Drosophila melanogaster: one gene and its partner. The gene in region 2 interacts genetically with the main gene of each other region. Each region holds a gene or a part of one and is shown on either strand. Other genes may lie near its edges.

What was found. Genes that interact genetically often act in the same process or in processes that back each other up.
Region 1: of park (region 2) and puc, changing one enhances a phenotype caused by changing the other (phenotypic enhancement), as found in Drosophila melanogaster (one study listed by BioGRID).

The regions. Positions count from the first base shown.
Region 1 is NT_033777.3:8,103,693-8,108,774, reverse strand, and holds the start of puc (puckered), read right to left. Parts: upstream 3,444-5,082; 5' UTR 2,915-3,443; coding exon 2,680-2,914; intron 2,288-2,679; exon of another isoform or gene 2,036-2,287; intron 544-2,035; coding exon 397-543; intron 1-396.
Region 2 is NT_037436.4:21,193,367-21,198,561, reverse strand, and holds park (parkin), read left to right. Parts: upstream 1-1,708; 5' UTR 1,709-1,786; intron 1,787-1,792; exon of another isoform or gene 1,793-1,849; 5' UTR 1,850-1,859; coding exon 1,860-2,117; intron 2,118-2,176; coding exon 2,177-2,369; intron 2,370-2,425; exon of another isoform or gene 2,426-2,444; coding exon 2,445-2,790; intron 2,791-2,915; exon of another isoform or gene 2,916-2,931; coding exon 2,932-3,376; exon of another isoform or gene 3,377-3,431; coding exon 3,432-3,528; exon of another isoform or gene 3,529-3,605; coding exon 3,606-3,715; 3' UTR 3,716-3,808; downstream 3,809-5,195. Other genes in the region: Targ2 (terminal ADP-ribose protein glycohydrolase 2), read left to right, coding at 1-103; Targ1 (terminal ADP-ribose protein glycohydrolase 1), read left to right, coding at 437-802, 925-1,013, 1,072-1,102; Targ3 (terminal ADP-ribose protein glycohydrolase 3), read right to left, coding at 1,108-1,257, 1,317-1,491, 1,545-1,666. UniProt on the Drosophila melanogaster protein: E3 ubiquitin-protein ligase which accepts ubiquitin from E2 ubiquitin-conjugating enzymes in the form of a thioester and then directly transfers the ubiquitin to targeted substrates, such as Paris, Marf, Opa1, Miro, pnut, Septin1, Tom20 and porin.

The sequences.
Region 1 (5,082 bases), on a different chromosome or scaffold from region 2:
ATGCAACAGTAGAACAATCGAGCGATTTCCCGATCGGCTGGCGATATGGTGCCCCTTGAGTTCCGTTCTTGATCGCAATGCTTTGTAACTTCCTAACTAGCACAGTTATTGTGATCAGCTTTAGATTGCAATCTATGCAATCTACTATGAGTGATTAGTGTTTGATTATTTGATTATTTTATCATATCTCTAACAGTTTTCAAGATGCAATGCTCTACGTTTGCATGTGGAAATATTAGGTTTTTAACTTCTTGCATACCAAAATACATGACGATTCACGACTTTTCACATAATTGCCAAAAATTTCTAACCGACTCACAGAGAGTATTGTTTGAAACCCGTCTTCGGGTCGCATACCTTTGCGCTGGGTTCCCCATTTAGCCGACTTTCACTTACCGTAGACCGCCGGACTGGAGCAGCTGCGGGTTAGCGCCGGCGTCCGTCCGCCGCCGTTCATTGCCGTTGATGATGACGTCGTCGATGTCACTTCGTCACATGCCAGATTCTCCCTGGACCGCTTGTTGGGATAGTCCTTCTGATTGGCTGCCGAGGGAAGGAGACGAAGACCAGAAAATACGCATTAATGCGGTGATTTAAAAACTGATTTTAATTGGCGGTTAGCGATTTGCTTAATTTTATAACCCATGATGTCAGCACGGACCGTGTATGGACCGCAGTGCGAAAAACTTGTCGCGCCAGGTTCCCCGTTCAAAAAAACCGCAAAAATATTTCGTTTCGATTGCCGCCTGCCAAAACTGACGTAAGACATTTATTTCGGCTCTAGAGTTTTTTTTTCTTCTTTTTCGCCTGATTACGAGCGAATGCAAAGCCAAAGTTTTCCACATTCGCTCGCAGCTCACAAGTCGCTTATCACAGTGAGCAGGCATAATTAGAGAACGCTTTGTAAGCTAGCCCGATACCAATTTGATAGTATATTATAGTAAAACACAATCCAGATTATTCATTTATAGGTAAGTCTGAACAAAAGCTGTCAATAACAAATAGTTGAAAACTTTTTTAGTACGGCAATCTTGGGTTTTTAATGCTGGTATATTTATGTTCTTAGCATCATTCTGATTTCTTCGAATATTATTAAAATTAATCTTGTAGTAAATATTTGTTTTTAAAAACTTCAAGTACGATTTTCCCCCTACACTAAACTTTAATTTTAAGCCATGTTCCTTGATTGAAGGGTATCATTTCAGCCGTCCGTCAAAAGAAAAAACTTGATAAGATAACCAATGCTACAGTTTGTATTATGTTTTCAAAGTGGTCTTAGGAGTTCGGACTGTGCTGACTTGATCAAATCGACTTTATCAGCCTTGCCAGAAAGTATAGTCTCTTTTATGCTGAAAAGCAAAACAACTTCGAGCAAACTACTGGGGTACAAAATTGCTGTTATCAGCCAAGCGACCTCAAAAGCCAAAAAACAACACAGAAAAAAGCAACAGCCTCAAAAAAAGTACAACCAACTTTTCACCGCGGCAGGAAACGTTGGTTATGTTTTTTTTTTGTCGCTGTTGTTGTTGTTTGCGGCTAGTAAAACAAGTAAAATCGCATGCCAATAGTGCATTGCAAACCTCCAGGGGCGTCTGGGTCTGGAGTGTGTGGGTTTCGAAGGGGGCCTATGGTGTGGGAAACGGGGGGAGTGGTGTGAAGTAGAGTAGAAAATAGGAAAGTGCTAATTAGTATACAGTGGCTTGTTTACTTTTGGAAATGAGCTATGCATCAGCTTTCTGTTCACTATTTTGTCCAACTTTTGGGTTGCGATTCGCCATTATGTTTACTGTTATTAGTAATTCGCTGTTTATTGTCTAAAAAAAACTTGGCAACAAGGTAGTAAATCTTTCACTTTAAGATGATATTAATTTTAAGTGATTTATAAAGCGATTGTAATGCTTCAACTTATATTATATTTAATAAATTTCAACTATTCTGTAAATGTTTTGGAACTTTGACTCAACGAGGGCACCCCTTTTTAGTTTCGCCCCTGGCCCTTGCAACTAACCCTTCCTGCTCTTCCGCTCTTTCTTACCGACTCCCAACTTCAGTTTTGAGTTGTTGCCGCGGCTGTTGCTTTTTCTCCTTCTGCTCCCCTTTTGGCCTCCTCCTTCGCACGCTTCTCCCTTCTTCTGTTGTTGTTGTGCCGATGAATTCGTACTCGAAAGGTCGTTTCAAAGCGGGTTTTTCAGCGTTGCCAGGCCGCTTGAGAAACCTGCTTTGCTTTACATTTTTTCTGTTGTTTTATTTTTTTTATTTGTACTCGTATTTTGTTGGACTGACTGATTTTTTTTTTCATTTATCCAGCCAACAGAAACGAATCGAAACGCTTCTTTTGCTTTTATTTTTGAAAGACACGCGAATTGTGAGTCACGTATGGAGCGAAAAAAAGTAACTGACTCTGAGTCTGATCTCTCTCGAGTTCGTTTCTTTTTGCTTGTTTTTGCTTTTGTAGAAATGAAATGGAGACGCTTACGTGTGCTCCCCCTCTCTTTCGCGCCCCAGCAAAAGTAAACAGCATGCCGAGCGGTAAAAATCAAGAGAGCAAGAGAGAGGGATTAATACGTTCTCCCTGTCCCGCTCTTTTGATTGGTTTGAGTGTAATCTTAAATTGTACGATTTTTCTTATTGCTTATTTCTGTTGATTTGATTCTTTTTTTCGCTTCTTTTTGTACTTACCACCAATGCGATTGTTGTTGTTGGTATTTTGGATTGGCATAAATAACAGAAGACACGGCGCTTCTCGCTTTATCCGCATTTTCATTTCACTTTGTATATGACTCACGCTGTCGCCGTCTCCGTCGCACTCACAGCGTCCGTTGTGGCTGTTGTTGTTGCGTGCTGTTGACGTTGCCGTTGTAGTGTTGTTGCTATTATTGTTGCTGCTGCTCTGCGTTTCTCGATTCACACACATATGCACGCGCTCACACTACACACATACACATGGGGGCCTTTGGTTGTTTTAAAATTGATATATGTATATTTTATTTGTTGCTTTCTGCCCGTATAATAATCTATATTATTTAAGTATGATTTTCGGTAGGAGGGCTTTATTAGATAATCCCCGAGCCACTTGTTGAGCCACTTCCCGTTATAAAGTGTGTTGCAACCAAAAGTCGGGGGCCCAGAAATCGAGTTTTATTTCCACTTGTAGCACGCACACTTATTTTTAATTCATTAATCGAAAAACGCGCGGGTTGTAGATCTCGTTTTTATATTTTATTTTAGTATTAATTGTTTGCTTCCTCTTCTCACGATTCGTGTTAAAATTATTGTATCCAATGATAAATGTTTTTACCAGAAATATTCTAGTTTTAATTTCCTACTGTTTTCGCGCGGAGCTTAGTTATTTTTCGAACTCGTTGTGCAAAGATGTAGACACAACCGTTCGAAGCGGTATTCAAAAGGCGAATGAATGACCGAATGAATGAGCGCAAGACGAATGAACGGGCGCAAAACAAATTTGATAACCGAATTTGATAAAGACGCGATTAGTGTGACCAGAGGCTACTACAGTTAAAAAAGGCTAACAAGCTGAAACTTTACTCTACGCTCACCAAATTCACCAACACTGAAGACTTTGCGGTTGAATTTGAAATTAAAGTATATATAATAGCCACAATTGTTGACAAATGAAGTTAAAATAAGCTATTACATACTTTGACCTATGATCATAATACAATTTTTATTTATTTATTTTTTATTTATTACACGTTAAAGGTTAATTATTTTCGAAACATGCTGACATTTGACTTTGTATAATTGCTTTTGACATGCTGTATATATACTAATTTTCTTTTATCTCGGGCTCAAACCTTTTGTTAGTTTATATTGATGAATTCCATTTATTCATTATAATTTTTATGAATATAGCAATGCTCGTTATAAACCTCTTTAAATTCTTCGTTGTCAAAACATTTTATTTGTCACTACAGAGATGCGCTCATGTCTACCCAAGTGCCTCAGCAAACCAATCCCAACCAAACCCGTCAAACCCCACCTGAATCTCCGCAACCCAGTAACATGGAACAAATGTTTGCTCGCTTCGAAGGAATGGTCGAAAGGATGATGGAGAAGATGTTCTCGCAAATGACGCAGCTTGTTGCTTCCATCCTCAACGCAAAAGTATGCAAAGCCTAAAAATAGTTATTTGGAATGCTAACGGCCTGCAGAGGAGCAGAGCCGAGGTGGAACACCTCCTAAAAACAGATGCCATCGATGTACTACTGGTATCAGAAACCCACTTTTGTCCCAGATCCCATTTTAGCATTAGCGGCTACGATGTCATCCCTGCCAACCATCCATCTGGCAGAGCGCGCGGAGGAGCAGCCATGCTCATCAGGAGTGGCATCCAGTACACGGAGCTACCTGCGTTTCAGGAGGAATGGGCCCAGTGTGCCCTGGCCAGAATCTCCAGCCTACATGGAGACATCACCGTTGGAGCGGTCTACTTCCCACCTAGACACTCGATCACCGAGACTCACCTACAAGATTTTTTTGAGTCCTTTGGACCTCGCTTTATAGCAGCTGGTGACTTCAACGCCAAACACTCCTGGTGGGGGTCCCGCTCCATCAACCCCAAAGGCAGAACGCTCCACAGATTCCTGCAGAGCAGAAGACTGGATTGCCACTCCTCTGGTGAGCCTACCCACTGGCCTTCAAACCCTTCCTTGCTGCCCGACCTCCTGGATTTTGCTATCTCCAAAGGCATAGGGCAAGACAGACTAACTTGCTCCAACTATAACAAGCTGATATCCGACCACAGCGCTATAAAAATGCTTCTCAACATCCCCGTCCTCAAAAAAGAGTTGCCCAGAAGACTCACCGGGAAGCACACTGATGCCTCCAAGTTCACACTCTGGATGCTGTCCTCCCTGCACCCGGATCCTCCACTCTCCACTCCAAGCAACATCGATGCGGCAATCAAAACTCTCACGGATGAGATGTACAATGCTGCTGAGTTTGCCAATCCTCCTCCTTCAACGTCCCCAAGAACTCCCGGTAGAGACCTTCACCTCTGGTCTCCAGAAATTGCGGCCTTCGTAGCGGAAAAAAGGCGCCTCAGGAGAATCTGGTTCTTCT
Region 2 (5,195 bases):
CGTGGTTTGTCCCACCTGCCGGCACATGAAGACCATCCATTTGCCATCGAGGTCCGTTAGTGGATCAAGAAATTCGCTTCATCGCGAAAAGACTCCCTTTTAATGTATATAGCCATCTTTGTTTGACACTCGAAATGGTTTTGCTTGGGACTTGTGGCATCATATGCACCAAATACTTATATAGTTGATAAGAACGATACACCTAAGAGGTTTTTATAGCACACAAAGTTTCCATATTTGGTTATTTATACTGTATTTAATGTATTAATAAATAAAACACGTCCTCGAGAGGATATTAACCAAAGATTGGAGTTTTGATAAATACATATATATACCCTTACGAACCATTATCTAGTGTTATCGTATGACCAAAAATTAATCTAGTAGCTGCCTGTTACACTAAGTCAGACAGATCTAAAACCCTTATTTAAACTAAATGTATTCTCCCAAACTTCTAGAACTACGTAGCGCATTTCGGCGAGCTTTTGTAGTCGGAATGTCATCCAAACCTCAGTACACCCTAAGCGAAGTGGATGGGGATCTGTTTTCCGCCCCCAAGACCTATTCCTTGGCGCACTGTGTGGGCGCAGATCTTGCGATGGGTGCTGGAATTGCCGTGCAGTTCAAGAAGGTATTCGGAAGGTTGGACGAGCTGCAAGCCCAACAAGCGGGCAGTGGAGATATTGCGGTGCTGAAGGATGACCAGCGGTACATTTACTACCTAGTAACCAAGCCTCAGAGCTGGGGAAAGCCCACCTACGAATCTGTACAAGCATCTTTGGAGCAGATGCGTGAGCATATGGTAAATACATGCCTGATACATATCTTTTATGAATGGAATGTATCCCTGCTTTTATTTATTATATATATAAAGCTTAGACAAGTTATATTAATAAGAGCTACATTTTATTATTCCTACATTAGCGCAAAAACAACGTGAATAAGCTGGCCATCCCAAAAATTGGCTGCGGAATTGATGGCTTGGAATGGGAAAAAGTCAGCGGAGTCCTCGAGTACGTTTTTGGCCAAGAGCCGCTGGAGATTGTTGTCTACAATTTTGTGCCTCCACAGGGAAAATAATGGATCGTTTAGTTTAATATGAGCCATTTACTTCATAGCAACATAATTATAAACGACCAGCTCAACAGAATCCGCTTGAAAAACCTGGCAAATTATTTCCTTAACTTTGGGCCAGTTTAGGCCATCCAAACCGCATCCAATGCGGGGCATGGCTAGCTTGGGTACTTGGTGGGAGATCTGCAAATGGTAGAAAGATTCGTATATCATAACTTCTTATAGAAGATACATAAACATACCATGTGTTTTCGCATGGCGATCAAGGAACTCTGGAGAAGTTCGTAGGTGGGCTTTCCCCAGCTGGATTTCTTGGTGATCAGATAGTAAATAAATCGCTGCTGGTCCTGAAGGACAGCCACGCCGCCTGGCTGAACATTTTGTCTCTGCAAATTCAACAACTGTCCAAATTTGTTTCTGGAAAATAGGCAAATTTACCATTTTATTAAAAACACTAAGCCATTACCTACCGAAACTTTACAGCTATGCCTCTGCCCATTCGCAAATCGGCAGCCACGCAGTGGCACATGGAATAATCCCTTTGGCATTTGAATAGGTCGCCATTGATCTCTCTGTAAGTTAGTCCTGACATTTCCATAAAACTTTTACATTTATACTCCTCCGACTTCTTCACAAAAATTGTTTTCAATTGTGCGCTTTCTGCGTGTCCACGTTTTCCTCCGAATGGCTGCCAGCTGGTGTTTGGCAACGCGTAAGTAAACAACGATTGGCAACACTGAAGCATATACACTGCACTAAAATTAAACCCGATCAGCTGATAACAAATGAGTTTTATTTTTAAATTTATTGCCACTTTTGTACGCAAAATGCTGGAGCTGTTGCAATTTGGAGGGAAAACCCTTACGCACACGCTGAGTATTTATGTAAAAACGAACACGGGCAAAACGCTGACCGTTAATCTGGAGCCCCAGTGGGATATTAAAAACGTAAAGGAACTGGTGGCACCACAATTGGGACTTCAGCCGGATGATCTAAAGATCATATTTGCCGGTAAGGAACTAAGCGATGCCACGACAATAGAGGTAAGAAGTTTCTTTAATGTATCCGCTACATGAAGTTAACTTTTACTGTCTTCTAGTAGCAATGTGACTTGGGTCAGCAAAGCGTTTTGCATGCCATTCGTTTGCGACCGCCCGTGCAGCGCCAGAAAATCCAGTCGGCCACTTTGGAGGAGGAGGAACCTTCGCTTAGCGATGAAGCCTCCAAGCCTCTAAATGAAACTCTGTTGGACTTGCAGCTGGAAAGCGAGGAGCGTCTGAATATAACCGATGAAGGTAGGCAACAATTAGTTTTTATTGTTTTTTTTTTTTTTAACGAAACCCCTTGTAATCCCGTCGTATCCTCTCCAGAAAGAGTCCGTGCCAAAGCGCATTTCTTTGTACATTGCAGCCAATGCGATAAGCTGTGTAATGGCAAACTTCGGGTCCGCTGCGCTTTATGCAAGGGCGGCGCCTTTACTGTCCATCGTGATCCGGAGTGTTGGGATGATGTCTTGAAGTCGCGTAGAATTCCCGGTCATTGTGAAAGTCTGGAGGTGGCCTGCGTGGACAACGCGGCTGGCGATCCGCCCTTCGCTGAATTCTTCTTCAAGTGTGCTGAGCATGTCTCCGGCGGGGAGAAGGATTTTGCGGCTCCATTGAATCTAATCAAGAATAACATCAAGAATGTTCCTTGCCTGGCCTGCACGGATGTGAGGTGATTATGCAATAAGGAACATCTTAATTTCTTATAATTTTCATATCATCGAAAATGTCATAAAAAGTTCTTTTAAAGTCTTTAAAGTAATTATTTGTCATATAATTTTATTCTGCTATAATCACCTTATTATGTTCGCAGTGATACCGTGTTGGTTTTCCCCTGCGCATCGCAGCACGTCACCTGTATCGACTGCTTCCGCCATTATTGCCGTTCCCGTTTGGGCGAGCGTCAGTTTATGCCGCATCCGGACTTCGGCTACACCTTGCCCTGTCCCGCAGGCTGCGAGCACTCGTTCATCGAGGAGATTCATCACTTCAAGCTGTTGACACGCGAGGAGTACGATCGGTACCAGAGATTCGCCACCGAGGAGTATGTCCTACAGGCAGGTGGAGTACTCTGCCCCCAGCCAGGATGCGGCATGGGCCTTTTGGTGGAGCCCGATTGTCGCAAGGTGACATGCCAGAACGGCTGTGGATACGTGTTCTGCCGCAATTGTCTGCAGGGCTACCATATCGGGGAGTGTCTGCCCGAGGGGACGGGCGCCAGTGCCACAAACTCCTGCGAGTACACCGTGGACCCAAATGTGAGTTGGCTCTTATACGGCCCATTCCCGCTTGTGTAATCATGTGCTTTTTTAGCGAGCTGCCGAGGCGCGATGGGATGAGGCCAGCAATGTCACCATCAAAGTCAGCACAAAGCCCTGTCCAAAATGCAGAACCCCCACGGAGCGAGATGGTGAGTTGGGCGAGCATCGAAGACACCCAAGACGCAGTTTGTAACACATCCATACCGTCTTCTTCTCTTCCTACCAGGCGGTTGCATGCACATGGTCTGCACACGCGCTGGCTGCGGATTCGAGTGGTGCTGGGTCTGCCAGACTGAGTGGACACGCGACTGCATGGGAGCCCACTGGTTCGGCTAATCCTTCGTCATCGTTGTACGTCGGCCCGACGGGTCCTTTTTGTTTGTTGACTACTTTTAAATTGTATACCATAGTAAAGACTGCTCGAACAACACCCTGTTTGTCGTCTACGCAATCAATAGCAGAAACACCCCTGACAAGGACCAACGCGAATCACATCCTACCCCACTCTGTTCCTTTGTTGCGTGCGCACAAAAACTTTGTTTACGTTTTTTTTTAAGCTCGCCCACAAATATTTTGAGGGCTTTCCTCTTCGGCCAGGCATGCGAAAACCGCAACAAACACGTGCATTTGGCCAAACAGCCAGAGAGCGAGTGCCGCGAATGCGCAGTGGGTGGTCAGCGGCACAAGGTTCATGTGATTTCAACCCAGGCGCGTAGCCGCAAGGGGACTAATAATTGATTGGGGGATGGTAAAGGCATTTCAAAAATGTTCCTGGATTTTCAAAAGTACTAACTACTATTCTTGCTAAAGAGAGAAAACACAAAAGAGAAAATTATTAAGAAACTGAAACTTAAATTTTGGCCGTTAATACGTAAAATTAAATATTTCACTTTAATACAGTTTTATAATTCATATGTGCAACCGCCCTAGGACACATCTGTAAATCAATAGATTTTAGGCAATTATATATAGGAAACACGCATTCCCCTGAATAACTAATTTAAATTTATAAACTTCTACAAGAATTGCAATTAGTCCGCTTAGAAAAGCCGTCTTGGAAACTCGAGACGCCTGAAAGTTCACCTGCCTGGTTATCAGTCTGCCTTGCGGCTTATCGGTCATCTAAAGTTGGGCTGGCCAAATGCCACAGGTTCGCGGGACGCTCTTAAGCGGAAACATCCCTTGGCGGAGTGCACCACGAGTGTGCCAGAAAGTGTGCTATGGTTTTTCGCACGCTGGTGGAAATTCGTGGCCCGGACATCGATAAATCGAGCCTATACACAACATATACCTCATTCACACAGCGAACGTGGGAAACCCCCAAGCAGGACTCTGGCGGAAAATTTATTCCGCACCTCTCTCTCTCTTTCTGGCTCCCTGTCTCTCTGGGAATTGGCAATCTCTCGCCCATTTGGAAGTAACGCCACGTTCTAGATTCCTTTCGGTTTGCCGCTCTGTTTTGGTTGGCTTTCTGTTTTGTGCTCTAATTCGTAAGCAAAGCGAATAGTTTTCACTCTGCCATTTGGCAGAGAGCCGCGAAGAGAGATTGAGAGGAGAAGAGCAAAGTGCAGCGCATTTTCCGCCCTCGAAAATGGCGAAAAGGAAAAGCTCGCTCGCGCATGTGGGCAGGTTGCCCATCGAATCGGGTCACAAAGTTCCCAGTGCAGCAGCTTCTGTGTGTTGTTTATTCGTAGCTATTTTTTTTTTTGCCGTTTTCCGTCTGCTCCTTGCTGTGGTGCTTGTGTCTTTTGCCAGCTTTTCTTCTTCAACTTGGGGGCCTTCGGTGTATAAATGGCAGCGCGCCCACGTATCGCGT